4 linked regions of the Alligator mississippiensis genome follow. The protein of the gene in region 1 purifies or fractionates together with the protein of each later gene. This does not show direct contact. Links are inferred from orthologs where the notes say so. Each region holds a gene or a part of one and is shown in the gene's direction. Other genes may lie near its edges.

What was found.
Region 2: the proteins of FBXW7 (region 1) and STYX purify together in Homo sapiens (affinity purification with western blotting; 4 studies listed by BioGRID and IntAct, with this or other methods). This does not show direct contact. The link is inferred for Alligator mississippiensis from reciprocal best matches to the Homo sapiens genes FBXW7 and STYX.
Region 3: the proteins of FBXW7 (region 1) and FBXO45 purify together in Homo sapiens (affinity purification with mass spectrometry; 4 studies listed by BioGRID and IntAct, counting the BioPlex papers as one, with this or other methods). This does not show direct contact. The link is inferred for Alligator mississippiensis from reciprocal best matches to the Homo sapiens genes FBXW7 and FBXO45.
Region 4: the proteins of FBXW7 (region 1) and MTOR purify together in Homo sapiens (affinity purification with western blotting; 9 studies listed by BioGRID and IntAct, with this or other methods). This does not show direct contact. The link is inferred for Alligator mississippiensis from reciprocal best matches to the Homo sapiens genes FBXW7 and MTOR.

What each region holds. Positions count from the first base shown.
Region 1 is NC_081825.1:96,225,149-96,232,745, forward strand, and holds the start of FBXW7 (F-box/WD repeat-containing protein 7), read left to right. Parts: upstream 1-4,594; 5' UTR 4,595-4,936; intron 4,937-7,597. UniProt on the Homo sapiens protein: Substrate recognition component of a SCF (SKP1-CUL1-F-box protein) E3 ubiquitin-protein ligase complex which mediates the ubiquitination and subsequent proteasomal degradation of target proteins.
Region 2 is NC_081825.1:300,614,923-300,622,440, reverse strand, and holds the start of STYX (serine/threonine/tyrosine-interacting protein), read left to right. Parts: upstream 1-4,514; 5' UTR 4,515-4,596; coding exon 4,597-4,653; intron 4,654-7,518. Other genes in the region: PSMC6 (26S proteasome regulatory subunit 10B), read left to right, coding at 275-346, 1,360-1,478. UniProt on the Homo sapiens protein: Catalytically inactive phosphatase. Acts as a nuclear anchor for MAPK1/MAPK3 (ERK1/ERK2). Modulates cell-fate decisions and cell migration by spatiotemporal regulation of MAPK1/MAPK3 (ERK1/ERK2).
Region 3 is NC_081830.1:36,875,644-36,883,177, reverse strand, and holds the start of FBXO45 (F-box/SPRY domain-containing protein 1), read left to right. Parts: upstream 1-4,534; 5' UTR 4,535-4,587; coding exon 4,588-4,821; intron 4,822-6,279; coding exon 6,280-6,636; intron 6,637-7,534. Other genes in the region: WDR53 (WD repeat-containing protein 53), read right to left, coding at 2,067-2,546. UniProt on the Homo sapiens protein: Component of E3 ubiquitin ligase complex consisting of FBXO45, MYCBP2 and SKP1. Functions in substrate recognition but also plays an important role in assembly of the complex.
Region 4 is NC_081836.1:12,052,128-12,059,227, reverse strand, and holds the start of MTOR (serine/threonine-protein kinase mTOR), read left to right. Parts: upstream 1-4,092; 5' UTR 4,093-4,169; intron 4,170-4,198; exon of another isoform or gene 4,199-4,321; 5' UTR 4,322-4,360; coding exon 4,361-4,480; intron 4,481-4,652; coding exon 4,653-4,761; intron 4,762-6,033; coding exon 6,034-6,266; intron 6,267-6,635; coding exon 6,636-6,836; intron 6,837-7,100. Other genes in the region: UBIAD1 (ubiA prenyltransferase domain-containing protein 1), read right to left, coding at 3,139-3,688. UniProt on the Homo sapiens protein: Serine/threonine protein kinase which is a central regulator of cellular metabolism, growth and survival in response to hormones, growth factors, nutrients, energy and stress signals.

The sequences.
Region 1 (7,597 bases):
GGTGGAAGCTGCCTAGCTGCCAGTCAGGAAGCCTTAACAGTGACCAACTGGTTACTCAGTTGTAGGAGGGCTCTCAGATACAGCCTCTGGCAGGTTTGGCCAGCTAGGCAATTAAGCCAGGCTGTGCTGCCTCTGATGCTGGAGAAGCTCTGTGTGGAAGCCAGTTTATCTCTGTGTCTCAGTTTTCCCATCTGTAAAATGGTGATCAGGATACTGACCTCCTTTGTCAAGTACTTTGAGAACCACTTGTGAAAGCTGGATACTATTATTAAGACAAGGCATAGCCAATACCTTACTGCACATCCTGGAGACCTAACCAACTGCTCTTGTATCTTCCTAGTGTTTCCCTCAGATCAGGCCCTGGATATTTTAATACTGTATGCAGGATCCCTCTGGATTTTGGATAATTTAATCCCTAAAACATTGTAATTATAAACCACTGTGACCATTGTGGTTTATGGTCTTCACAGCTGCAGACAAAATATGCAGGGTTTTAAATGCCCTTGGATGGTAAAGTTCCTGGAAGAATAGCCAAGTTTTCCTGGGCTTAACATTTCACTGCCTGGGGAAGAAACACTTCAGCTAAAGACATCTACTTTTTTATGGAGGCTGCATGGGATAGTAGAGATATGAGGATGGATTTAAGACTGTGTGGAGTATCTTAGTGCTGCATTTCTATACTTTTTACCTTTTTACCTTCTACATTTGAATTTAATGGCTTTTAGATCTATTTTTATCCAAGCTTAGTGACCCTGCCTATTATTAAGATTGTCTGATGCTATCCTTTAGAACATAGAGGAGTCTAGTAGGCAAGGGAGAAACTGGTGAGGAAAATTAAGGGAGAACAAAAGCCTGAAGTGAAACTGTGATCAGATGAAGTGCCAAGGGTCTGGCTTGGCTAAAAGACTAGGACTAGGGGGAGTGTAATAGTGGAGAAGAAACAGATCTGACAAGGAGAGAGAGTTGGGATTGGAGGAAGAAAAAATAGCTTCTTGTAGTTAAGAAAGAAAACTACCCCAGAGAATATTTTAGCCATGCTTCTACTACAGAGATCCTTTGTAAAGTACTTTCTTTTTGAAGAAGTAACTCAAACCAAACTTATTATAGATGGTTAGTAATTATGCATCCCTCATTTTCTGAGCTGGATGGGCCTGACTTGCAGTGCTGAGCACTGGCTTCTACATTTGAACTCAATAGGTCACTGTTTTGGAGTATATAAAGTGATATATAATGCCAAGTTCTCTGAACAACCAGCATTTTAGATTAGGCACCCAAAATTAGTGAGCGTTTTTACCCATCTCTCTGCCTCAGCTCCTCATCTGTAAAATGAGGATAATAACAACTCCGGTATCTCACACAAGTTTTGAGAAGATAAATGTATTAATGTTTGTGAAGCTCTTGGCTGCCATTGGAATAGCTTATAAAAAAACAAAGCAGTACATCCCTGTCTCTGTATGTCAAAGCAAGCGGTGTTTTAAAGGCCTAAGTCTTGGTCCACTGACCAACCCTCTCCCTTTATCCAAGCCATGAACTGGTGCTGTTTTGCATGGGACTGTTATCTAAATTTTTACGTAAGTTGTACCCTGGGGACACTCCTAGAGATGTACTCTGTTCAAGTAGGAGAAAACTGAAATGCTTAATATAGAACAAATACATATGAAGAAAAATTGACAGGTAAGTCACCAGTGCAGTCCACCACAGGCAAGGATATGGGACGTGGACCCAAGACTGAAAATTATCCTGATGGCAGTAAGACATTTGTACACCTGTCAGGGAAAATGACACCGCCAGATTCTTGCTGAGACTCATCACGGGAGTGGGAATGGGAAGGGAAGCTGGCACCTGAAGAGAGTGGGAACTAGGGCTAATTGAACACGGAGACCAAGACAAAGATGAATAGCCTGAAAAGTAGAGATGTGCCACTTGAGAAGCTAGAGCGCATGAGAGAGGGACTGGTGCTGTACGAAGGTTTGGCCATATTTGATCATTGGAAGATATTCATAGAACGAGGACCCTTCTTGATAAATGGAAGCCATCTGAATTCCTGTATGTGCAAGTTAATCACAGGATAACTACAAGCCACTAACAGCTTGTAGTTACAGCTATGAACAAAGCAAATGCAAGCCTAAAATGTATAGATTAGGTATTCCAGTAGAGACTGGGTTGTATTAACTGGACAAGAAAGCTCAGGTGTTTCTGCATGGCACTGCAGTGCATTGTCATCCCACAAAAGGAGAAGTCTAAGAAAACAGAAGAAACTTCTGTGGTGCTCAACCTTTTCTCCCTGCAGCCTGGATGGGCAGCACCTAGTTTGACTGTGGGCCAGGTCTGGCCAGTAGTCCTGATCCAGTGCCCAAGGCAGGCATGGCAGGCACCATTCAGCTACATGGAGGAGATGGAAGGGGCAGGTTGGCTCCAACTCACCCCTGCAGGAGAAAGAAGCTTGATTTGGCCCCACTGGGGGAGGAAGTGTGGCCCAGCCTTAGCCTAGCACTAAGGGAGGGGCCCTGACTAGGCCCAAACCCAGCCCGGGTGGAAGTAACCATGCCTTGCCCCAACCTGGCCCCAGGGGTGTGTGTGGCCCAGCTCAACCTAGAAGTGGGGGGAGGGAGTATGGAATACCAGGGGTACACCTGGGCTCTGACCAGACATGAGAGGCTTGGGTTTGGGGAATTTGGCAGGGGGCAGGGTGGCCATCTCTCTCTTGCTGCCAAATTTCTGGACCTATGGGGAGTCCCATGGGCCAGATGAGATGGCTCTGTAGGCCATATTTGGTACGCAGGCCAGTGGTTAGGACTCCTAGTTCATAATGCTGATACTTGCATCCCTGTTTTAGAAAAATTCAGATGAAAAAGCAAGGAGATGACAGGTTTGAAAATGCATTGGCTAACATTTAACCTCTATAATCATTGGTACTTTTTTTTCCCCTTACATGTGGTTAAAGTTCTTGTTAATTTCACTAGTGATTTCAAAATAAGAGCAATTGCATAGCATTTAGACTGATGTAGAAGCACGAGAGAATACGAGATTTAAATTTAAAAGAAGCATACTTATGTAGATACACAGTAAACACAATTATGTTGGACATAAAAGCAAGAGGATTCAGGCACTGGTCCTGCTTTCCATCTTCTGTCTACAAAGAGCACCTGGAGCTCTCAAAAGAACTTTTCTTTAGGACCCTAAAAACTAGAGACAGACACAGCATATAACCCAAAATGACTTTCCAGAAACATTGCAGCCTAAGTCAGCCAAGGCCTAGTTGCCAATAGCTATCCTGCTGGCATGAGAAGATGACAAGGGTGCTTTTTCAGTCTCTGAAGCAACCCAAGCTAGGGTGGGAGACCAGCAGTACTTGTTTCCTCTGTGATCTGATGTTGACTGTTGATGGTAAAAACTTGTGGTAGGAAACCAAATGTTTTCACCACAATTGCAGAGGAAAGGGAGGTTGATATCAATGTGCTTTATGAGCAGAGCTGAAATTCTGGGTTAAAAGGAACTGCTGTATGGTTCTGTAGAGGGCACGGATGAAATAATCTTCTTTCCCCTTTTTCTTTTCTGTTGCTGATTAGTAGCGAGCTGGATGCTTCCATTGACAAAAAACATAACACCAGCACCACAGGCTTCCAGTGGCAATTGTGAAAGACAGTTGCCTGGCATCTCCCATTTAGTGACACGCCAGACCAGGGCATTACCAAGAGTGGCAACTACCAGCCTGTTCCACTGCATCAAGCACTGGGGGCCACACTTCCTTTTTGGCAGGTGTGCAAACTGGCCCCACCACTCCTTGAGTACCACTCTAACCCCCGCGCCTTTCCCTTGCCTATGGGGGTGCTCTGCTTTCTGCTCCCTGCCTCACCTGCTGCCCTGCTTTCTGCTGCTCTGCTTTCTCCTCCATATAGTGCTCTGCTCCCTGCTAATCTGTCGCTGGGTTCCCTGTCCCCTCCGGGGTCTGCTGCACGCACAGGCTGCCCATGCCTCCGGCGGCTGGCAGTATGCTGCAGGTTGGCCGCTCCCCATTATAAACTAGGGAGCAGATTTGGCTTGCGTTTCCAAGAGCAGGTGAAGGGGGAGCCAAGGGCGGGAGTAGAAGGCAACCTCTTACAGCATTCTCCTGCCCACGAGCAGCGGTCCCGCTTGCCCCTCGCAAAGCCCGTCCTGCTGCCCCCTCCTTTCCCCTTCCCCCGCTCTGCGGCGCGCACCGCGACCCGGAGACCCCCGCCGCCCCGACCCCTGTAAAGACCCCCGGGGGGCGGGACAGGGCGCTAAGCCATTATGCCTGCCTCTAGGGAGCAGCCCTGCTCCGCGTCACGAGACGACTTGCCCCTCAGTCAATCACAGCGGCAACCCAGTGCCGTAGCAGCATTCAAAGCCCAAGCCCCGCCCACTGCTTCTACTCGGCGAGGGCGGGGCTCCGCTTCCTTCGTCACCGCCCCTTTGTCCCGGCCTGAACCAACCCCGCCGGCGGCGCTTCCCCCCTCCCTGACGTCATCGACCCGCGCCCCCGGCCGGGGGTGTGGCCTGTTGCCATAGTGACCAGCTGTCATCTCCGTGCGCCGCGGCTCCCTTCCCCCTCCCCCCCAGCAACCAGCTCTCCCTGCCGTCCCCACCCCCGCCGGAGCCTCCCCCCGGGGCTTGCCCCGCGCCGCGGCTCACCCATGCCAGAGCGCGGCGCGGCGGCGGTGCCTCGCCCGGCCGCCCCCGGGGCCCCGCGGGGCCCCTAGCAGCGCCCCGCGCCTCCGCCCGCCTCAGCGTGCATGAGCGGGGGCCGCGGCCCGGCCCCGCCGCCGCCTCCTCCTGCCCGGTCCGGCCCGGCGGCGGCTCCATGTGAAGGCCCCCCCCTCCCCGCCGGGGCACCCCGCGCCCCCGGCCCCGGCCCGGCGGGGGGAGGCTCCCGCGGCCCCGCCACGGCGAAGGAAGCAGCCGCGCGGCCCCTGACGTGAGTAAACGCCGGGCGCGGGGGAGCACGTGGGTGCGGCGGGGCCGTTGGGGGCAGCGCCCCGCCCCGCCGTCGGGGCCGGCTGTCCCGGGTCTTTGTCGAGGCAACAAAGAGCTGCCCCTTCGCAGCCAGCCGCGGGGCCGGCCCCCTCGTGGCCCGCGGGGCGGGGGAGTGCCAGCCCCCTCTTGGCTCGGCCCCTCTCAGGGAAAGACCCCTGTCCCCTGCCGGAGCCAGCGGTGGCTCTTCCATGGGTTGCCTGAGCTGGGGGTGCGGAGGTGGCCTGGGCTGGGGGGCTTCTGAAATCCTTTGAGGTCAAACCGGCTCCAGACGGGCAGTGCTTTCCTGCCTAGGAGCGTATGGGCAATGGGAAAGCCTGGCCCTCGGTGCTTTCTGCCTAGGAGCGTGTGGGCAATGCTTCTGTGCCGCCCTGATGCGGGGAGTTGAGTGTTGCCTTCGTAACTTTCCTTGTTTCTGGGAGGACCAAGGAACTTGAACTCAAATCATCGCCCCCTTCCCTGCTGATCCGAGCACCCATGGGGATAGGTGGCATCTTGCCATGCTTAATTTATGCATCTTCAGAAAAAGCAGCGTGGGTTAGTTCAGTCTGACAGTAACATTTCTCAATCAGGTGCTGCAGCACCTTGGGGCGCCTGGAGATCTTTACCAAGGTGCCACATGGTGCTAGCATGGCGAGGCGTGCACTCATGATGCACGTGATGGCTTCAGAGATTTCAAACAGGCATTCGGAGCATTACAAATGCTTTGCCCGTTCAGGCTTTCTGGGTTCTCAGCTTTAGTCTTTTTCTGTTGCCAGAAAACCAAGGGAAAGCTAAGAGCTGGCATTTTCTGAGAGGGGCTTCTAGTCTTACTGAGAGGTGCCTCAAGTTTTTAAAAAAGTTGAGGACAATTGCTGTAGCATCCTTGGCCAGCAGCTGTTGGCGAGTTACAGCAGTCAGGCGTTATCCCACCACACAGGCTCTGAATAATTTAAAATCTTTGCAGGTTGCGTTTTACATTTGAGCGTTTGGTTTGTGCGCGCTGGGTGTGTTGTAAGGTTGTGGCCAAATTAAGTGTGGTTCTAGCGCTTTGATTTACATGGTAGGCACTTCAGAAGTATTGGCTCTGATGTAGTGCGGGAGTTTGTATAATTTTCATTATGAGTATTTTTTCCATACAGAAATCTAGAAAAGTATGATAGCAAACTCTAGCTAGGTAATTTCCCCTTGCTTGATATTTTCAATGAATGGCATAGAAGGTCAACAGTTGACACACTTCTATCTAAATTCTGGTATCAGCTAGGAATATTTTAATTGAAAGACCTTGTTCCCTGTCTCCTGCCCGTATGTTTGCTGCATACATTTGGCAGCAGGTAGAGTCAGTTTCCCAAGTTTGTTTATAGCCATTTTTTCACTGGGAAGGAGTTGGAATCTAAATCCCATTGATTTCTTTTTTCTCCTTGGGTGGTTCTGTTTGTTTTCAGACTCTTATGATTTAAAGGGCAATAACGTATGCAGAGACAACCAGATTACACGTGTTAATTGCACGCCAAGCTTGTAGAACCAGACTTTGAAATAGATTGTATAACCTCCAAAGTGGTTAGGCAGGAAGAAGTAGAAAAGGTACCTGAAACTTTAAAAATCCTTTCAAGTCAATCAGCTTGAGACAGGCAGCGCTTTCTTGAACAGGAGTATGCGTACAACACTCCTGTGCATCCCATATGCAGTGCATTGAGTGTTGCCTTCATAACATTCCTTGCTTCTGTGAGCACTGAGGAACTTGAACTCACTTTACCACTCCAATTCCCTGCCATTCCTGGCATCCATAGGGATAGGTGGCATCTTGCCACATTTAATTTATATATGTTTAGAAAAAGCAGTGTGGGATATTTCAATCTGACCATAATATTTCACCGTTCTCTTAACACAGTAGCTTTTTGTCACATCTTGACTCCAAATTAAATGTATTTTTCCCTTCCTGTTGCTGTTCCCCTTCCATTTTGCAATAGCCACTGTTCTTTGTATACTAAAAAAGTTATGTTCCTACCTGTTAGAGCCATTTTTACAGTATTGTAGGTGTTCAGTATAGATCACCTTGTGAAAGCAATTCATATTTGCTGTTTAAAATGGAATAACGCTATTTTTTTATATTTGCATTACCCTCTTTGTTCTCAGTGTGACCAGTGAGTCTCATCTTATTCATTATTACATTGTTGTTGGGTAGAAACCCAAACTGAGAGAAAAATACTTAAACATCTTATAAAAAAAAATTGAGCTCCATTCATGGTAGCTATTACAAACTATTTCCTTCCTCCCCAAACTGAAAATAACTTGCATTTCTTCTTGGGTAGTCAAATTTTACATTACCCATGGCAGACACTCACTGTTTTTTTTGGGGGGGGATAGTGTTTACATGTTCATTCTTCTAAATAGAATGTCAGAAAATGTAGGGTACAGGAGGACTCCTTTTGGGCCTACCATCCTCTTTACACAGAGGGGCACTGTTGCCAGTCTGGCTTTATAAAAGAAACTTGAAATAACACATGACTTGTCTGAAGTATCTGGACTGTAATTAGTCTGATACTTGAGCTTGTTGACTCTTGCTCTTAAGACCATGCAACTCTGAACTGATTTTGCATATACACCATTAGCATACCTGATATCA
Region 2 (7,518 bases), about 200 Mb from region 1:
TTGCATTTAATTTTGAACCACATATATGGAAATTAGTAACTTTTAAACATAACTGCATTGAGTATTATTGACTGATACGTTTGTATATTCCTGGGGGGAATATCATAGCTAGCAAAAGCAATCAAATGAAATTCAATCTAGCTCAGAACCGTTTTAATTTGCACTAAAAATTATGGTAGAATGTTCAAGGCTTTTTTGTTTCATTTTGAAGTTCTATTTTAATGGAAAACAATCTTGTTCATTATTCTAGTTAATTGTCACTTTTCATGAATAGATTATGAAGCAATTGTGAAGCTTTCAGATGGCTTTAATGGAGCAGATTTAAGAAATGTCTGTACTGAAGCAGGTAAGGAAGAGGCTCTTAGCTTATTTGTCTCTCTATTTGATGTGCTGAGTCTGGGCACAGATATTAAACATTCATGACCTGTTTGTCTGATCTGATTCTAGCACTACAGGCAAACGAGATTCTGAAACATTCTTTCATGATCATGTTCACTGATGTGAAGCTAGTTCATTCTTGTACATGACAGTGCTGATTAAACTTGCGATCCACCTATGTTTACAGTTATCAAACTTGGTTAATATGATAGTCCTTAGTGTTTGCAGTACTATGAAATTAACTATTAAAAGAAAAAATGTTTGATACTTGGAACAGTAGTAGTTTGGTATTGTCTAGACTCCCGATAAGAGACCCATATGTTCCCATGAAGTTTAGGTATAGAGAGAAGTTTCCTGAAACTAGGTGGAACATGTCTGAAAAAGGTTAAAGAGAATCTGTTTTTAATTTCTTTACGACTCAGAGTTATTTCAGTCATGCCAAAAATGTGACTCTTTAGAATCTTCTCCGTGGTGTTCATGTTTTCTCCACTTCAGGCTTGTCTACATGGGGAAAATGGAGTTCTACAACTAATGTTATGAATAATTATTCTGCTATAATTGTATTCTGTCAGTATTGCTCCTATGCAGAAACATTATTCCAGAATAAATGTTCTGTTTCAAAACTTATGCTCGAGTTGGATGCATTAGAACACCAGTTGGTTACTCACTGAATCTACATACAGATTATGCAATACAACTTTGGTCCTTTCTGTGTGTTAATAACATAGTGCTAATAACTTTTTAAAACGACTGTTCTGCATTAGGCAGGCAAGGTTCCTTTGGTAGATGTGATATCTTCTCTTTGACCAACTGAGTAGTTGGAACGTTCTTTGCAAGCTTTTCAGCACAAGTACCCTTCTTCAGGCATAGGGAGACTTGTTGTTCTGAGATCTCCGAGGAACGAAAGAATGTGCTGTATTATTGTTGCAAGTCACAGTAATTCTATAGATATCTCACAATTCCTCAAATTCTTTTCCGCAGGTATGTTTGCAATTCGTGCTGATCATGATTTTGTAGTTCAGGAAGACTTCATGAAGGCTGTAAGGAAAGTGGCTGACTCTAAGAAGCTGGAGTCAAAGCTGGACTACAAACCTGTTTAACTTAATCATACACTTCATAATTGACTGCATGGGAAATATCAGTGTATAAAAGGAGAGAAATAACGTACCTCTTGGCTATGATCTTATTGCAGGTTTCTGTATAACACAGTAAGTTAGTAGTGTGTTTTCTGTACAGTTCTGAAACGTAACTTTTGTTGCAGCGCAAGTTAAGTAAGGAGATGTTCTACTAAAAATTACTGTGTGACTGTATAAACATACCTACATAGTTTAACTTTAGCAGATTTTAAGAAAGTCAGTGCAATCTTGACTTATTTTATATCAGTACATTTTCCTTTCCCAGAACAAATGAATAAAATTTTGTTTAAAGTAACTCTGTCCTTCCTATGTACCTCCTCTATACTTCTTATCAGAAAAATCAAATAACAGCTCTTTGGGCACATAAAGTGCAGCTTTTCTCTGCAAGTGATCATGTCTGTCCCCATATAAGTATGGTTTTTTTTTAACAACCTATGCAAAAATCACTAGAGGTCAATTCATCAGATGTAACATACCAAGAAACAGATCAAGAAATGTAATTTGCTATTTTATTGTGTAGCAATTTCATGCTGCCTGGTCATGCAGAACAGGAATAGATACTATGTTAGTATTTCACTGCTGAAAAATGGGGGGAAAGTACTCATTAGAACTAAAACTTAATTTATCACTTAATTATCTACTTAATGTTTATAGCCTGATTTCAGTCCGCAGAACTGGTTACAAATGTCCATATGTGCTCAGGGGAAAGTGCCAGAATACCACACCAAAAAGATAACACATGTAGTCAAAAGCCATTTTAATAACAAAGAAAATATTACAGTCTTTCAAAAAACATTGGACTCAGTTTCCTGTCAATCTGATCAAATATTAATTTCTAAAATATGCCAGATGGAAAGGTGTGTTCAGTACTCCTTCAAGGCCTGAATACTGGTCTGTAGTGCGTTGCTGGAGTGTAACTGAGGCCAGAATTTGGCCTAGTGCCTGTTGTCGCCACATAAACTAGAAAATGGCTACTGCAGTGGCTAACTTAAGTTATTCTTCAAACACAATAAAATAGTTCTGACTTGGAAACCAAGGTGTTCTTCCTCTTCGGGCTATGTGTCACGCTGCATTGATGTTTAAATTCTTCCTGCACCTGGAAACATGTTTGCTATGGCTTGCATTTTAACTGTACCTAAAGGTTAAAAGGAAGCATTCCAGAAGCAATGTTTGGGTGAATTTTTTATTTTTTTTATGTGTAGACCCTATTTATTGCTACTTCTAACTGTTCCAACTGGATTATTCTCTGCAGGTTCAGCTAACAAGCAAGTGTGTTTTTAGCTAGTTCTAGAAATTACCAAAAGCCACCCTATATTATTTCTGTCTTAACAATGCAGTAATTTGGAATGAATTATAGTGATGCCTCTGTTAGTTCTACAAAGGAATTCCCAGTTGAAACAGTATTACAGTGCACAGGCAATTTTTTTTCTGTAGTGTACAAGCCAAAGGTTGTCATTTTACCAAAATAAAAAGGGCATGCATGTTCATCAATGTAGGAGGAAGAAACAGGCTATTCACCTGGTGTATATTGTCAGGGGTGTGAAATGTGAATTTCAGTCATAGGGTTTCCCCATAAAATCACTTTAAATAGGGCTAAAAATCAGTATGCATTATTAACTACTACTGTTGCAGAAGCTGTGTTCTGTGTTCAGTGTAATAAAGATTTAGAAAGTTCAGTAATATTGAATGTTACTAGACAGTTGAATGTATTAAAATTGTGTTGAATGTACTGCATTAATTTGGAGACAGCAAACGGAGGAACTGACTCCTGTCTCCTTACGAAGAGTTGTCTGCCTCTTGCAGGTTAGGGGTCTCTGCAGCCGTAAGAGACCGGGTAAGATGCTATGATCCCTAGTGACTTCCTGCCCCCGGGGCCGGGGGGCCGGACTCGCTCTTCCGAGGTCCCTTCCAGCCCTAATGTCTATGAAATCGATGTGGAAGTAATGGATTCAAGTTGCAGCAAGGGAGCTGTAGGTTGTACATGAGGAAGAATTTTTCTAAGTATGAGGAACGTATTACCAAAGCTGTGGACATTTGGTCAGTGGGCCACAGTGCAGGGTAGATGGACCTCTTGCCTGGGACGGTTTATACTGTGATTGATGCTCCTGCCTCAAAAAGGGGGTTGGGCTTGATCGGTGTTTCCTGGGCGGGTCGCGCACAACCCAAAAGCGGGTCGCAAGAATTTGCAAAAGGGTTGCGAACAAACTTTTAAAAGTGGATTTTCCCTTAAAGGAGAACATGGGAAACCGTAGCCTTTCCCTTAGCTTTCCGTGCCCCACATGTACTCGGGGCCTGAGGGCGAGAGGCACTGGGTCGGGACCCACCATCGATGTTCCCACATGGGTCGAGAGCCGCCGGGTTACGCGAGCCCCCGAGGGCCCTTCCAGCTCTAGTTTTCCCAAGACCCCGAGCAGCGGACAAGGGTTTTGTTGCGCAAAGCAGTCGAGAAAAACGGAACAAAGCTCTGCCTTGCCCAAAGAGCTTGCAATCCAAGACGAGATAAATGGATACCAACATTTCTGGGCAACGGATTCACAGAGACCGCCTGGACCAGCGTGTTACAGCTGCCAAGACACGCGAATTTGAGACGTGTGGATGCGCAGCAAGGGCTGCGGGTGAGACGGGAACGGCCTGGATGCGAGCCCTATAGACGGGGAGGAGCCACCCCTCGGTGCCAGCCGGGCCAGAGCGGGGGACGTCCGTCGCCATCGGAGCGCGGCTTGAGCTCGAGACGGGAGCCGGTCTTCCGTGAGAGGAAGGCCCGGCCCCAGAGAAGTGGACAGCAAGGCGGAAGCTAGGCGTGCGGCAAGGCCGGAGGCACCATCATCCCGCGCAACCCAGCCGAGCACGTGGCCGCACGCAGCGCACCGCCGCTTCCGGGCGAGGCCCCGCCCCTCGCCCGTGACGCTACGGCCCCGCCCCTTCCCAGCGGGCTGGCGCGGCGGTTGCGGGGGGCGTGGCCGGAACGGCGGTTGCGGGGGGCGTGGCCGGCGCGGCGGGCGCGAGGCGGGGGGGAAGCAGCATGGCGGCCGGGCGCGCGGCGCCTCCCCCGGGCCCGCTGCCCGCATAGCCGCCCCCGGCCATGGAGCTGGCCCGGCCCGCCTTCCCCGCGCTGCCGCGGCCCCGCGACGACTCCGAGGTGAGTGGGCCCCCCCGTGGGTTCCCTGGGGGGTTCCCCCCCCCTTGTCACGCAGGCAAGTGCCGGCTGTCCGCGCTCCAGGGCCGAGCCCGGTGGCGCTCCTCGGCCGCGTGTGTGACAGCGCCCGCGCCCTCCCTCCCTGTGCAGTGCTGAGCACTTCACCGCTGGTCGCTTGGCTGCGCCGCGCGGCACTGCTTGTTGCGCTGCGTCGCGCCCGCCGGACGCTCGTGAATGGGTTTGCACCTGAACTCAAGGTATACGCTGTGGTTCTGGCCCCCCGCCGCGCGGCTGTCTGCTGAAAGCCGTCCCGCCTCGAGCGCGCTCGCTCGCTCGCTCGCCGCACGCTCGTCACTGGCACGGTTTTCAAAACCGACATCGCTCCCCGTGTCACCGCTGCGCAGTGAAAACCCCACATCCTAAATCCTTTTTTCTCCTCGCTCCTTCTCTTCACTTTTTCCGTGCGTGCGGTGCCGACGGGAAGGAAACGCCCGAGCTGCAGAGAAGCGTTCAGGAGCAGGGTCCAGAATGACTTGTTAGACCGAAAGACACCATTTCTGTCCGTCCTGTTTTACTAAGCTTAGTTTTCTTTTTACCAAACTTTGTATTTTTGTGCTTGACTAAAGCATCCTTTCAGCGCCCCGTTTGCAGGAGGGCCGAGGGGCCGCGGTATGTGGACTTAACGCTCGTTTTAAAAACATTTCAAGCGAATAAGTTGAGGAACAAACCTAAAACCCCTAAGTTGGCGTGCAGACCGGTGTGCACGGGATGTGTTAGAAATCGGTGAATTGAGAAAAATGGAGAGTGGCTCGGTGGCAGCGGAGATGTCACCTTTTGTGCAGCGCTGTGAGAAGGCAGAGTAGCGCGGAGCTGAGATTCCCGTATCCTGGGCATCTTGGGGTGGATTGAGGGACTTCAAAGGAGTGTCCTGTTTGGGGAAAGGATGCTTTCCTCAAATTCCTGTTTCGGATAGGCAGTCAGGACTTGCAGTACTACGGTGCCGTGTGGCTGCAGCCTGGATACCCGTTTCTGGTAGGAGCACCAGGATCGTCCCTTGTGGTCGCAGTGGATCCTGCCTTCTGCAAAGTGAAAGCGTCGCCCTTTCATTTCTCTGAGCCAGGTAGTCTTCGAGAGTGCTGTAAAAACGAGCAGGCCAAGTTTCTGGTCAGGTTACTTTTTGTTTGGGGCGGTTGTCAGAGATCCAAGAAACCCTTCTTTAAGGCCAACTGTTATGGCTGCTGACCTTGGCTAGAGGTATTTTCGCTGGGAGCAATTCACTGCCCCCTTTAATCAGCCGTGAGGGTTATATTAGAAGATAAAAGGGACACGGTTACCGGCTGAGAAGAGGAAAGGGATTGAGCGTGCCTGAGTTTGCTGTCTTGTCAGAAATCAATGGACTGGAGCTCCTAATTGGCTTTTCCAGGTGAGCAGTAAAGCTCGCTTTTAGTGAAATAGCTCTCATTTTCTAATTTAAATTAGTGTTCATGCAAATGAGGAGCTAAATCCCCATCTTGAGGTAGGCATAGTACAGAGAGGTGCTCTGCACGCTTCTGCCGGTGGGTGTCAGCCCGGGTGTGCATCGCCACCCCGTTCCACCCGGGTACACGGACAGCGGTCGCACCCAGTGGTGCAGCTTTGTGACTTGAGCTAATAGGGTCTTGCGTGAAACCACCTTTGCCGTTTTCACTTGTAATCTGATTAACATTTGAACCAGTCTTTCCAGTTGATCATGCTGCTACGTGGGTTCCTCAACAGGAAGTATTTTTCTTTATTGTGTACACTGTAATGCGCAGTGATGTATATGCCACAGTTTAGTAGGTATATCTAGTAGGTGTGCTGGATGCATGGGAGCAATAATCAGCATTTCTTCATTTGTATTGATGTATAATGTAACATGTCAACGGTTTCTGAATAATATTGATTATACATGCTCCAAAATGATTTTTAGAATTAAACTCAACGCTTTTTAAAAAATAATAAAACAAGTATTTAGCCTAGATCCTGTAATATTTTTTATCGCATTCTGTTAAAATATCAGAAGGTCCATAAAAGGAAAAATTGAGCTAGCAATCACTTATGCTTACTTACCTTAAAGGAATATTGACTAGTAGCTTAGGTCAGAAGTTTGTCCTGCCTTAAATGTGATACTTATTGCTCTAAATTTTGAGCACTTACTATATCTTACTCAATTTTGAGCACTTACTTAATCCTTCTGTTCAGATACTGAGGAGCTAAATAAAATAGTCGTAATTTAGGGGTGTAAAAATAATTTTTCTTTTTGGCTGGGCAAAAGCTCTCCCTTGCTTCAGTCCAATCAGCATTTTTCGATGTCATTTGTTTTTTTTTTTTTGTTGGGTTTTGTTGTTGTTTTTTTTTGCTGAAAGAAAAGTAACCACTTCTGAAGCTTGTCACCTTTAATGAAAGCTGATCAGTGGAAATGAAGGGCTGGGTTAGGCATGATTCAGAAAAATGGGGTGGAGGCAGAGGAGGACTCCGTTATCCCTTTTGCTCAGTTCCTTCCTCTGGGTGTGTCTACACCAGCTGTTTACTGCATTGTTGACTAATTAACTGCAGTAAATGTTTCAGCATCTACATGTGCACCCCTGTTAGGGCACACAAAACGAATAAACTCTGCATCAGGCTAGCACTTGCAAATACAAGCACTGCCCTGCTGCGGGTTCTTCCGTGTGCAATGGTGCACGTGTAGACATCGACCTGGATGACTGGGGCACAAAGGTGCTTATAGTGCAGGAGCTGCCTGGTGGCTAGCCTGGCGCTGAAGAGCCCTCACGCCCCAGCCAGCCCTTCCGCAGCGCGATGAGCCCAGTTGGAGCGTGGCAGGCTGACCTCCCCCAGGCTCCCTGCCAG
Region 3 (7,534 bases), on another chromosome or scaffold:
TGAAAGTATGGAGATCTTTTCTGTAAGATTACACACTAAATTCCTCTTGCATGTCAGACTGCATTCAGATTGCACAGATCCTGCATCTCTTCCAAAACAGCTGGTGAAGGTCAGCTGCTAATTAAAACATCCTTAGTAAACAGAATTTTCTGCATCTAATGAAACAGTCTTGCTTTAGGATAGCTAAACATTTTGCTTTTTAGGGTGTGAAAGTGATGAAGAAATCACTCATGCTTTAGTAATCATCTGGGGAGCAGCAGCCATGACACACTGAACATCTTGCTTATAAACTGTGCAACTGAAAGAAAGTTTTAATGGTGACCAACAATAGGATTGAGAGTCATTTTAAAATTTTAATTCAGTTTGTGCTTACTTTCTTGGCTTTTGGTACCCTATTTCATTTGCTTTTCTCTCTGACATGGGGATAATGCCTATTTCACAGGGGTGCTGATTTTTTGTACAGCACACTGAATATGTGAAATAATGGAATAATGGAAAAGAGCATTTCAGTCTCTCACTACTTTACAAAATCCAGTAATACAAGTTTTTTCATATTAATTTCAGTGTGTTGAAGAAAAAAACAAATATCCCCATTTCATTTACATCCTTTGTAGCTTTGCGCTAGTGCATGAGAATTAAATGGAACTGACAATAGGTGCATGTAGCTTCACTAGGCAAGCTGAGTAAGAGAGAGAAAACAAGTTATTTTTAACTGGCATTAGACCCTTGAAGCACAACTTGCAAAACCACACACAAGGACTTTAGCTACATGGTTTCCATGATCAATCACACAGCGAACAACTCATATTTCACACACTGTTTACTGAAAGCATGAGGTGTTCTTAAGTTTCCATACAGTCACTACCAAAACACTGTATATTATGGTAATATGGTAAGGGATGATACCCGCAGGCAAGTGTGGTGTGAGATCATTTTTTTTTTTTAAGTGTGTTGCTTTTTTTTCTCTTTAAACACAGCACCACCAGAAAAAGCCCCATAACAACAAATATGCTTCCACATGAGAGCTCTGACTCCCTCCACAACCAATAAGTATTCCCTATGAGCCATCCAACAGAACTAATGCAATAGTTGGCTTTGGCTACTGCTCTAATGTCTGCATATGGTATTTACTATTCTCAGTCTAGCAGAACTGAAAGCATTAAACTCAATCTCTCAGGCTCATCACTGCACCACTGATGAACTGTCTTTATCAAACCCATTATTTTGTCATTAATAAACAGCACATCAATATCTATGAACTCCAATAGACAGAACTTCTACATTAGACTAGAAAAATGGTTCTCAACCTTTTTAGATTCAAGGCACCCCCACCCTGGCTTGTGGCACCCCTAACTAGACTAGGGGCACCCCTTGTAAAATGCCAGCTCTTAATTTTTATTTGTTTTTTTGACTACAGAAAAATACTGGGGCAATTCTTCCATTAGGAAGAACTCAGAGAAACCACAGATGAGAATGTTTTTGACACTACAGGGTCCTATCTTGTGAATCATGGTTGAACACCTGTGTGGCACCCTGTAGCACCCTTGAAAGTATTTCAAGGCACCTTAGGCTGCTGTAACACCCCAAGTTGAGAATCACTGGACTAGGAATCTCAAACTGTGGTCCATGAGGGGCTTAGTTGTTGCATGCTGTTCATTTCCATAAGCTAAAATGCATTGACACCCAAACTATACATTTCCCTATGGCTGTTCTAAACTGTCATTTAATTTTCTTACCAAACTCAGCAAAATGCAAACAAAATAGTTGTCCCCTTTTCCATGATAGCTATTGCTAATTTCAGGGGCACTATTTGTTCACAGATAGCCTTAAAATAGACCTCTAAAATAAGGGTTTGATCCTGAAAGCCCTGACCATAAAGGGCAATCCTTTACATCAGTGGAACTTCCATCATGATACAACCACATTAAGATTGCTAAAGAACCAGAAATTACTCTTACCACCCTAGAGTAAGAGAAAGGAGTGAGGTAGAATGAATATCTAATTGCATACCATTCAGCCAGTATTTAAAAATCTAGCAATCATCCATCTACTTCCATACAAATCACCTTCATGTCTAGTCCACATGACACAAGACTTTGAGGCCTCTGAGGTCGAAACGCAACAGAGGAGCAGATATTTGAATGTCTCCTGAGGGACCGGCTGACTTTCTTGTTTTCCAAGTCTATAATCTTGATTGCCCCAGAGTCATCAGCTGCAGCCAGGACACTGTCTGTGTCATTCACAGAAAGGCAATTGATCTCTTCCTCATTTACGTGGAAGCATTCAATAGGCCCCTTAAGGCACCTGACATCCAGCAAGCTAATGGTTTCCCCATGAGATGTGTATAGCCTACTTGGGCAGGTGGGAGAGAATGTTACACAGGTGATATCATCTGCTTTCTGAAGCTGTATCTGTCCCAATGGAATCCCTTCCTCATTCCAGATAGCAAGCTCGCCTGCCTCTGCTCCCGAAGCTATCAGCCCTTCTTTGTTCACATTCAAGCACAGTATAGAAGAGGAATGTCCATCGGTCCACTTGACTGCCATGATGCTTCAAGGGATTCTGTGAAAGAAGGACAGAGTTAGGCAGTTTTTCCTATTACAGTAGAAAGCTTATCAAAGTATGTAAGACTACTGGGTTGCTGATGAAATAACATGAGCATGTGAGCTGCTAGTCCAAGGTAAAATGGGCACTTGTGCAAGTTTGAGTGCAAGCACACCAGTCTGTATGCTTACAATACTGACTCCTTAGAACAGTGGAATGGTACATTGTTAGAAGTGCTTGTATACAAATTGTTGAACTACACCACCTTGTGCAGCTATCTAGATTAGGGGTTGGCAACCTACAGCCCATGGGCCAGCTCCTGCCCACAGAGCCATTTAATGAGATCTGCAGACGTGGGGCTTCAGAAACATTCAGTGGCAGGATGGCTCTGGCATCAGTTGCTCTCCCCTGCCTTGGTGGAAAAAAACAGTGGAGGTGTCCTAGCAGTTGCTCCTCTCTGACCTGAACAGTCAGTCCAGGCCAGAGGAGGTGACAGCTACAACCTGAAGCCTTAACGAATTCCTTTGACTATACAGTCACTAGATCACCAGTATTTGACTCACTGCAGTGTGAGAGTCTTTGCTATTTGGAACAAGAAGAGTGATTCAGGAGGCAGACTGATTGTAATCAAGTTTCTTTTCCTTTCTTTTCTTTTTTTTTTTTTTTTTAAATCATCCTCAATCTACATGAGGGGCTGGCAACATTTTTGGCCTGAGTGGCAAAAATACCTGCAACCTTGACTTGTAAGATGTTGGCGTGCTTGTGTGAATGGTGGGAGAGCTGCAAGGGGCCTGATCCTTATTGTGGCAGTGCAATCCTTGCCCTGGGGCATGCGTGCCAAATAAAATGGCTTCATATGCCATGTGGCACATGTGCCAGAGGTTGCCTACCCCTGATCCACACCATCAGCTTCACCTGGTTCTGCAGAGAAGCCCCCTACCAGGGAAAGCTAAATCAGGTGGCTTAGCAACTAACAATGTTGTCCGCAATTCCCAGATGTGAGAACAACCGCTATTGCGGCTCATCAGCGGCTTCAGGACTGGACTCAAGACCCATCCCACAGACATCACCGGTCTTTCCACAGGGGAGAGCGGGCTGGGATTCCTCTCCTTTCCCTTCCTCCGCTCTCTCCTTTGCTTCAAGGGCGAGACGTTCTGCCAAGAAGCAGGCGGCTGCATGACTGAGGCTGCAGCGCCCATGGGGTGGGTTGGCAGCTAGCTCCTCCCCACTCCCGTCGGCCCGGGAGTGCTTGGGCAGGACAGGAGGCGCCACCTGCCCGTGGGCAGGGCGGGGGTCGCTGCCCATAGCCCCAGGAGCGGTGCTTCGATTCTTCCCAGCTCGGGGCCGGCGGCGTCGCGCGGGGGCTGCACAACGGGTGGGAACGAGCGTCGAAGCCCGTTGGGCGGCCCCGCCCCAGCGCCTCCCGCACCTCCGACCGGCCAAGGCCGCAGGGGGGCAGGAGCCGCGCGGGAAACACGAACTCGAAGCTGTATTCCCTTCGCCTCTGTCCGTAAGGACCCCCCGCCCGCGCGGCCACGGCACGGGCACAACCGCGCAGACCAAAGCGGGGCCTTAGCTTTTCCCCTCCTTCGCAGAGATCTTGGGTCCCCCGCGCCGGACAACAAAGGGGAGGAATTACCTCCAACCACACCAACAACTCGGCATCCTCGCGTCTCTTCCGGCGCAGTTTGATGACGTAACCCGGGAAGGGAGGGCTTTTTTTCTCCCTTGCATTACCACCCGCGCGTTCCCTGCTGCGCATGCGCGCCCGGCTTCCTCTGACAGCTGTGCCCTCAAGTAAAATGGCGGCCCGCATCCTCGCCTCTCTCCTCCCGCCCAAGCAATGACAGCGGGGCCTGGGGCCGGGGGCAGGGGGAGGCGTCACGGCATGGCTGGCCCGCCGCTCTCGGAGTCGTGCTGGCAGTGAGAGGCAGCTTCTCCGTGGCTGGCGTGGGGCTCGCTTCCGCCCGCACTTTGCCGCCGGGCGGAGCGGGCGGGGGCTGCTGGCGCCGCCCGGAGGTGGGGGAGGGGCCGGCGCCGGCCATGGCGGCGGCGGGCGGCGCGGGCTGGCGGCTGCCGGGGCGGGTGCTGGAGCTAGTGTTCTCCTACCTGGAGCTGCGGGAGCTGCGCAGCTGCGCGCTGGTCTGCAAGCTGTGGCACCGCGTCCTGCACGGCGACGAGAACAGCGAGGTGTGGCGCAGCCTGGCCGCGCGCTGCCTGGCCGAGGAGGCGCTGCGCACCGACGTGCTCTGCAACGTGCCCACCTACAAGGGCAAGGTGAGCGGCGCCCGGCGCTCCCGCCTCGGGGTGGCAGCGGGGCAGCCCCCGCCCGGCTCCCTGGAGCAGGCTGCAGCGGCCCCCAGCGGGGCCGGCCGGGCAGCGCGCCCAGGGGTGGCCCTCGCCGCAAGTGGAGTCACTTGGAGACGCTGGTGGGGCACCTGCAATAGCCGGCAGGGGCAAGGTGAGCCCAGGCACCCTGGCTTTCACCGGCACCAGCCCTGCTCTGGGTTTGTGGGGGTGCTGGGAGCAGTGCACCCTGGGATGCTGGGGGTGGCAGCCTGCTCCTGTCTCTGGGGCAGACTGAAGGGGCCCTAACAGGAACTGCGAGGCCTTTGCCTCAAGTGGCGCTGCTTCGAGATGCTTGGAGGGCACTTATTGGTAGCAGATGAGGGCCAGGTGAGCCCCCGCACCCAGCTCCATGCTGGCACAGCTCTGACTGGCTGCTATGGGACAGGTGAGCAGGAGCATGCCCAGGTGCCTGGCCCCTGGGCTCTATCCCTGCTGTGAGTGGGGGGGTGCTGGGAGCAGTGCATCCTGGGATGCTGGAGGCCAGTAGCCTGCTTGCTTTGTATCTGTAGAGCCGACCTTAACTGGAGCTGGGGAGCATGGCCCAGAGTTAGCCTTTGCCTTAAGTGGTGTCACTTCAAGACTTTTGGAGGGGACCTAGCAATAGCTGGCAAGTTGTGACATGTAGACTCTGGTGTTTTCCCAGCCCTCAATGGGGTTGCCATGTAATGTGTCCCTTCGTCCTCATCGCCCATCTGGTGCTTGCAGATGATGTGAGCATTGGCTCACAGGAGTGTACACCTCTCTGATTTGGTTAGGCTGCAGACAGATGTCGCATGTATCCCAGGATAACCTGTTTTATCCTGGGACAAAGTCCAGTGTTCAGATGTCTGTCCATGACAAATCCTTAAAAAGGTTCACGGGATGAGAAGTAGTAATAGTTTATCCCAGGATATTGCCAAGTGTGTCTGAACAATTGTCCTGGGAGTTGCATTGTGGAATCAATGGCAGAAGAACAGTGGTACATTTGGCTGTTCCCTAAACCTTTATTAAAAGGGTGATGCATGTACATACAGTGCTTAGATATTTCTGTTTTGGGAGAAACACAGGTACGACTTGTCCAGGGACAAATGCAACGTCTGTTCCTAGCCTTGATCTGTAATTTGCATCTCTAGCCTGCCTTCTCTGTCCCTCAGCTCAGCTGCTCCTGATCTCAGAAGTCCAGGTGCACTCTGGTTCTCTGGCTTGTTTTGTATCTAGAGGCTTTGGGTAGCAAACCCATCTTCTCTACTTTCTTGTGTCATCACATGCAACCATGCTTTTTAAAAAACTATTGCTTGAAACTGAGTACAAATGTGCTGCAGGATGTTAATGAAACAATTGCATTCATGGTTTGTTCTCTCCAGTCCAAAAATTCTCTTCTCTCTCTCTCTCTCTCTCTTGTCTTAGGTACGTGCCTTTCATCATGCTTTCAGCACCAATGACTGCTCCAGGAACGTCTACATCAAGAAGAATGGGTTTACTTTGCACCGGAACCCCATTGCTCAGAGCACCGATGGGGCAAGGACCAAGATTGGCTTCAGTGAGGGTCGTCATGCATGGGAGGTTTGGTGGGAAGGCCCTCTTGGCACGGTAGCTGTAATTGGAATTGCCACAAAACGGGCTCCCATGCAATGTCAGGGTTACGTGGCGCTGCTGGGCAGTGACGACCAGAGCTGGGGTTGGAACCTGGTGGACAATAACTTGCTACATAATGGAGAGGTAAATGGCAGCTTCCCACAGTGCAATAATGCACCAAAGTACCAGGTGAGTGAGACTTGGAACCAGTCAGAAACTGCTGCATTTGTGGGCAGCTGTCCATCAAGAATAAGCCTGAGCACTGTTTTCAGTAGGGGTGCACGGATAGAGATTTTTGAGCCAATACTGATGACTGATTTTTAGCGAGCCATATTGACTGATTCCAACATTCAGCCAGGCAGCATGGAGAGCAGCGTCCAGCTGGTAAGTCTGTTGTGGGGGAAGGGGCATTGGGGGGGGGGGGCAGTTGGGCCCCTGTGGTGAGGAAGAAAAAAAGGGGCTGGGGCAAGGGCAGGCACTGCACTGCCGGGGTGGGGTGCAGGATGGAGCCGGGAGCGGCTTGTCTGGGATGTGTGGGGACGGGGTGGGGGGAAGGTGGCTTCCGCCACTGTACGTACTCCAGGAGGGCATGGGGGAGGTATGCCCTTGGATCTGCACATGGGGTGAGGGGAGCCTGGGGCTGGGGTGACACTGGGCTTTTCCCAGCAGCGGGCTAGGTTGGGCAGCCCGGCTCAATCTCCCCCTCACTGGGAAGAGCCTGACACAGCCCACACTCACCCCCTGTGCCCTTCTGGGGTGTGTGCAGCAGCGGGAGCCACCTTGTGCCCCCATGACGAGCCGCTCATGGCTCCATCCCACACCTCACCCTAGCTGGGCGGCACCTGCCCCGACCCAATCCTCTCCATTCCTCACTGCTGGGGCCTCTATCTTCCCCGTCCCCCTCAATGCTCTCTCCCCCTTCACTCACAACAGACTTACCAGCCAAACCCAGCTGCACTCCTTGCCACCTGTGTGCTGCGCCTGCACAGGGCATTTATTGGCCATGTTTTTGAGCACATCAGCCAAAAAAAGCCAGTTGCCTTTACTGTCACTTTTTTTTCCTTATATCAGTGCCAATCTGATATGG
Region 4 (7,100 bases), on another chromosome or scaffold:
ACTGTTTGTCCTGGCACATATCTACAATGTCATCCCCCCCCCCCATACCCATCATTAACTCATGTACAAAACCTGGCTTTAACTTCTAAATTTACCTTTTCATTTGAAATTGGACCTGGCAAGTACATGAGGAAGAGTCAGTTAAAACATTCCAGGCTCTACCCGTGGAGAAGAGAACAGAGATCACAAGAACTGGAAGTATACATTTCAGCTGTGGCAGGCCAGTAGGGGGTGCTCCTGCGCCGAGCCACCCACCTCACTGCACCCAACCACCTTCCAGGCTCTGGGTGCCTCCCTGAGGGTGTCTCACGTCTGGCCGACCCCCTTCCTGGAGCATACCCGCTAGCCTGGGGGTAGAACTGCCACCACCCAGGGATGGGCTCGATTCAGGCTCTGCGCACTCTGGGAAACACAGGCCTAGTAGCCCGCGAGGGTACTTGACTCACTTCAAGAGCTTGGGGTGCTTCCCTCAGTCAGAAGCACAAGTAGTGGTCTCCCTTAGTCAGCCGAACCAAGGGGACCCCACAGCATAATCCAGACCCACTCCCAATAAGTGTCCCACACTAGGTACAAAGGAGAACTTTATTGGTTACAAGGGGTAGGGTTGGAATAGGGCACAGAGTTGAGTAGTATCAGAGAAATCCCATAGAGCAAACTCCTGTGGCCGGGGTAGCCTTTGATCTCGCATCCGAGTTACTGCAAGCTATACATCTAGTTAGATCTCAGGTAGCTTACAAGTATCATCCAGAGGCAGGTGGAGATTCCCTCTGGAGGCAGGCAGTTCCTTGATCATGAGTTTTGAGAGAGAGAGAACGAGCGAGCAAGTTTTAGATGGTCCAGCTCCTCTCTCTCTCCGAGTTTTCCTCATGGCTGCTGCCCTTCCTCCTAGGCAGTCCTTAACTTATATAGCCCTTGTGACCTCATTTACCTGGTCCAATGGAGGCCAGCACCTGTTGCCTGTCAGCCAACTAATGTGAAATGCATCACTAGTTGCTGGGCAGACTGGCAGGCTCTAGCTCACCAGGATGCCCAGGCCCTCACCCAGGTATGTGGTGCCAGTCACGTAGGCAGAGGGAGCAGGTTTCCACCCCTCCCTCAGGAATGTATCCATCTCAGGTTACCTAAAGAGATAGGGTAAGGTGTATATCCTCTGCTGGGCCCATCCTAACCAAATTGTCACAGAGCAGAGGTTTTGGGTAGAAACAGGAGGTGGCCTTCTGCCACATCAGCCACCGTTCATGCCCCAGGTTTGTGGTGAAAAGGGGTCAGAAGCCATAGGGAGGCACAACAGCCCTTCTTCAGAGCCACTCTCCAGAGTAACCACTAGGGAGGTACCAAAAGAGAATTTTTAGGCTGATACCGATGACCAATTTTTAACAGGCCATATCGGCCAATACTGATCCGATTCTCATATGCAGCCAGGCAGCATGGAGAGCAGCACCTGGCTGGTAAGTCTGTTGTGGGGGAAGAGGCAAGGGGGGAGCAAAGGGGTATGGGGGGCAGATTGAGGCCCCCACAATGAGGGAGGGAGTGGGGCTGGGGCAGGTGCTGCACAGCTGAGGCAGAGCAGGCGAGCACCCCAGGATGGCACAGGGGGGCGTGTGCTCCTGGATCTGCACACAGGGAGTGGGCAGGCTGCCACTATGGGCTGGGGCCAAGGCAGCCTTGGGGTCTGGGCCAGGCCGCATTCAGAGTGGGCAGTGGTGGCACTGGGAGGGGGCTCTGGGGTGGGGCTGCAGCCACCACAAAATTCACTGTAGCCCGCCCCCCAGGCACCGCTCCCAGCGTCGCCGCGGTCTGCCCCGAGTGCAGCCCAGCCCAGCCCCTCAAGGCTGCCCCAGCCCCAGCCCATAGTGGCAGCCTGCCTACTCACTGTGCACAAATCTGGGGGCACATGCCCCCATGCCCTCCCAGAGTGCACGCAGCAGCAGGACCTGCCCCCCCCACCTGGATGGGCTGCTCACGGCTCCACTCCACCCCAGCTGTGCAGCCCCTACCCCACTCCCTCCCTCACTGTAGGGGCCTCGATCTGCCCCCTCTCCCCCACAACAGACTTACCAGCCAGACCCGGCTGCTCTCCACGCTGCTGGACTGAGCTCTGGGCTGCCTGCGTGCTGCGCTGCAGCTGTGTGCGTGCACAGGGCATTTAATCGGTGGCATTATTGGCCACATCAGCCAAAAAAAGCCAATTGCCAATACTGTCAATTTTCCTTATATCAGTGCCAATCCGATATGGGACCGATGTATCGGTGCACTTCTAGTAAGCACTCAAATATCACATTCACTTCCTTAAAGTTTCAGCGCATAGTAATTTGTTTGTGAAGTGTAATCTGGGGCAGATCTGGAGGGGGTGGGGTGCTCTGGTGCCTGTTGCTTCCTGCTCCACCCGAAGTTTAAAACCAACTAACTGCCTGGCAGTGGCTGCAGCATTTCTAGGGAGACAAATAACTTCATAGCTCATTATAATCTACCCCGATCCCTACTAAAGTCCTCATTGCACAGTGTTAACCACCCTCTCTTTTTTATAGTCTTGATGTGCCACTACTGGAGCTAGCCTTCATCCTGCCATGCTGCTGCCCGTTTGCTGCTCCTGGTCCCGAAGCTCCTATTCCGCAGCCCTGCGGACTGTTTTTAACTCACTGCAATGGAATTATATTTGTTTTTGCTTCCGCCTTAAACCGAACAACCCAGCCCCAGGCCCCCACAGCCTATGAAGAAAGCTCCTAGCTCATCACGAACAGGAGAAAGACACGCGTGACATTACACGTGCACCACCAGCCCAATCTGGAATGGGGTTCCCAGGGAGGTGGTGCTCTCCCCTACCCTGGGGGTCTTCAAGAGGAGACCGGACAAGCACCTTGCCGGGGTCGTCTGACAGCAGCGCTCTTTCCTGCCCAGGGCAGGGGGTCGGACTCTGACCTACCAAGGTCCCTTCCGACCCACGCATCATGAACCTGCATCCCCGTTCAAAAGTCCCAACCCACCCACGTGTACAAGACGGCAGAGGCCGTGGCTTTAGGACAGCAGCAGACATGGAGGAGAGGCCGTCAGACCCCCCCCCCGAGCCGGCGAACGCCGCGAGCAGCCATCAGGACTCCTGCTGGTCCCAGGCCGGCACCCGCAATCCCCAGTCCTTACCGCCGGTGTAGAGGAAGGAGCTGGAGAGCCCGCCGAAGTAGATGAGGGCCAGGTGCTCCAGCCGCAGCGGGGACAAGAAGTAGAGGCCGGCGGCGCAGACGCAGCCCAGCGTGTAGAGGACGACGCCGAAGCGCACCACGTCGCGCGGCTCCAGGAGATGGTCCACCAGCGTGCGGTCGTCGCTCTTCTTGTGGTCGATGCCCTTGGAGAAGTCATAGTAGGTGTTCACCAGGTTGCCGGCCCCGTGCACGGCCAGCACGGCGCCGGCGCTGCCCACCAGGCGCGCGGGGTCCAGGGCGGCCTGGGCACGGTAGGCCAGGGCGCTGCCCAGCGCCACGGGCGTCAGCGAGGCGCTGAAGCTCCAGGGCCGCAGCGCCAGCACGTAGGCGGCGCACTTCTGCCTCCAGCCGCCCGGCGGGCCCCGCTCCGCGCCCGCCTCGCTCAGCTCCGCGCCGCCGCCGATGCTGATCCCCTCAGCGGGCTCCGCGGCGGCGGCAGAGGGGGGGGCCGGCAGGGGGCCCCGGCGGGGCGGTGCGGCGGGAGGCCGCATGGGGCTCAGCCTCACGGGGCGCGAAACCCGCCGCGCGCAGCACGGGTCATTACGGTAACGGCGCCCTTGGTCGGCCGCAGGCGGGGGGACACTTTCAGCAACGCACCCGGAAGCAGAGGGACGGGTGTCCCGCCCTGGCGTCCCCCGGCGGCTTCCTGCTTCCGCCTGGCCACCTTCCCCGGTAGGGGTGGGAGTGCGGCATTCTAGCCAATCACGCTGCTTCCGGCTCGCCACTGGCGGAGCCCCGTGTCAATCGGACCGCTTTTTTTTTTTTTTTTTTTTTTTTTGCTCCCGGATTGGTCAGCCCAGCTAGCCGGCTTGGGGGGCGGGGCTGCGCTCCCCTAGGAACCCCGCCTTCCTCCCCACTCCATTGGCGGCGGTGGCTGCCACTCCGATCTGCCTGGGCGCTGATTGGGTGGGTGCTGCTCGCCGGCCCGGCGGGTGGAGCCGGGGCCCGAGCGAGGGAGCCGGCGAGGAGGCGGTGAGTGCCCTCCTCCCCCTCCGCGGTCACCTGGCGACGCCCCGCGGCGCGGGGCCCTGTCATGCCGGCGGCTGGCGCTGCAAGGCTCCGGGCCCGGGTCTGTGCGGGAGCCCGTCCCCGCCGGTGCCAACGCCGCGGTTTTGTGTCCCAAGGCCCCGCTGCGCGGGACGCCCTGAGCCGCCCCCGCCGCCATGTCGGGCACCGTGTCCATCCTTCAGCAGTTCGCCAACGGCCTGAAGAGCCGCAGCGAGGAGACGCGGGCCAAAGCGGCCAAGGACTTGCAGCACTATGTCACCATGGAGCTGCGCGAGGTGTGGCGGCTCGCGGGGTCTGGGAGGCCCGGGACGGGGGTGGCGGGCGGGCGGGCGGGGCAGGGGAGGGGCAGGGAGAAGAAGCCGCCGCCTGTTTGGATCCTGGGAGGCCCCGGCATCGTTGCTGCCCGGGGGCGGCTCCGCCTGGGCCTGAACTCTCTTTCCTGCGCAGATGAGCCAGGAGGAGTCGACCCGCTTCTATGACCAGCTGAATCACCACATATTTGAGCTGGTCTCCAGCTCCGACACCAACGAGAAGAAGGGGGGCATCCTGGCGATAGGTGAGCGCAGGGATTCGGTGTCTCTGGGAGATTCGCTCTCCACTTCCCCGTGACGCAAACAAGCTGAAGACCTGGTGTCTCCACGCTGAGCGCTTGAGAACGTGGTCCTGCGTTGTTACGAAAATACGGGCCGCGATGCTCAGCTGCGTTAAGTGAGCATGGTGTGCAAATAGTCTGCGCTCCCTGTGGCCTGAGAGCAATAATCGTACCCGTTAAAACCCTTCGCTCGGTGGCAGCAGGGCCCACCTCCAAGGAGCTTTTGCATTTATTCCCGGTAGCATCTCCCCTGATTATTGCCCTGTTGAGCTTTTGTTCTTGTGTGGCAGAGCAGCCTAAACTTTGCAACTCCTGGGGATACAGATCAGGGGTTCCTGACCTTTTTATGCTGTGGACCGGTAAGCCACAGACCAGCAGTGATCGGCGTACTGCGGGCCAGCAGCCAACCCTTTCTTATCCTCGGTATAAAAACGGGTTGGTTGCCGGTCCACAGTATGCCGGTCACTTCGGGACTTCCAGTCTGGCAGCCAACCCTCCTGCGGACCAGCAACCAACCCTTCGCAGCCCGGGGGTTGGGAGCCCATGATACAGATAGATAACTCGTGTGAAAACAGTCCCTTCCAAATGGATCCCTCATTTCTGCACCATTTGCTTTTTAATAACTCCATAAAGCTTCTGGATTGAGTTAAGCATCATAACCAAACCAACCCCGGTGTGCTTAGAGATGATGGAGGTCGTTGAGGTGGAGTGATCTTTGTCAATGACATCTCACTTTAGGCAGACAGCATTACTTTAAAGTTACTTCTGTGACCTTAGTACTGGTGGAAGGTGCCAGCTTGACAACCCTGGATACTGATGGCTCCTCTCTGCTGCCACGCTGCCCCTGCCAATGTTCCTTAAGCCAGGCCTTGAGAGACCACCTCTTGAAAGAGTACAGTCTCCTCCATTCAGTCCTGGGTCCATTGTAGCCGTATATAGATGGAGGTGTGTTGGAATGGATCTGTGTTCCCAGGGTGGATCTTTATAAAGTAATACAAGGAAAATCTGACTTATGGAACCTTTTTGATGCATTTCTCTGTTTTACATAACAGATCCAAGCTTGGGAAGAATGCTGACCTTTCCTGCTGCTTAATGTTTCTGGTGGATTTGCAGTTTAGGAAGCGTTAGCAGGAATCTCTCCAGGCTGCCTAGAAAGAACTCTCTTCCAGGGATTTTGCTACTGTTTGCCACACTAACCCACTGGCAGGACTTAACCCATGCTCTCTTTCTCCCCAGCAAGTCTTATTGGTGTTGAGGGAGGCAATGCCACCCGCATCGGCAGGTTTGCCAACTACCTTCGGAACCTGCTCCCCTCCAATGACCCTGTTGTCATGGAGATGGCGTCCAAGGCTATCGGGCGCCTTGCCATGACGGGAGACACCTTCACAGCAGAATATGTGGAGTTTGAAGTGAAACGGGCTCTGGAGTGGCTGGGAGCTGATAGGAATGAAGGTCGAAGGCATGCGGCAGTAAGTGCTCTTCTGGCTTCTCAGCCTTCCTGGGAACAGGCTCATGAGTAGCAGTGATGAGAACTGTGCGAGGAAGGATGCAATGAGTGGGGAGAGGGTTGGAGGGAAGTCCTAGCTGGGGAGTGGAATGGCTATTCTTCCATTTCTGAAGAGCTACAGGATGGGCTAGTTGGTCTGCTGTTAATGGTATTTGTTCTGGTAGTGCTTAGGAACCGAGACTCAGATGCTCCTGTGCCAGGCACTGTAGAAACCCAGCAGCATGCTTCCCAAAGCTTACAGTATAACTAGGCAAGACAAATCAAGCATGTGGAAGTTTTCTTCTAAATTCCCACCTCTCCCTGACACCACCATTTTCCTTCCTGTCTCCAGGTTCTCGTCCTGCGTGAACTGGCCATCAGCGTGCCTACCTTCTTTTTCCAGCAAGTGCAGCCATTCTTTGATAATATCTTTGTGGCTGTATGGGACCCCAAACAGGCCATCCGAGAGGGAGCTGTCTCTGCCTTACGTGCCTGCCTCATCCTCACCACCCAGCGGGAGCCAAAAGAGATGCAGAAGCCCCAGTGGTACAGAGTAAGGAAGGAGTTCCTTCCACTTTAAATAGCTTTCTTCTCTGTGTCAGCACACAAGATCTGGCCTAAGCTAAGGCGGTTAGGTGTTGGCTCCTCTCAGTCATGATTAAAAATATTCTGGCCTTGGGATCAACCAGTAGAAAAGGAACGGGTCGCATACACCGAAGTTTTATTGTGCTTTTTGCAACTTGTTGCCAGCCCTTTGATTTAGTCTATCCTAGCAATCAGACTGTTCTCAACAGAGCAGGTGATCAGACTGACCTGT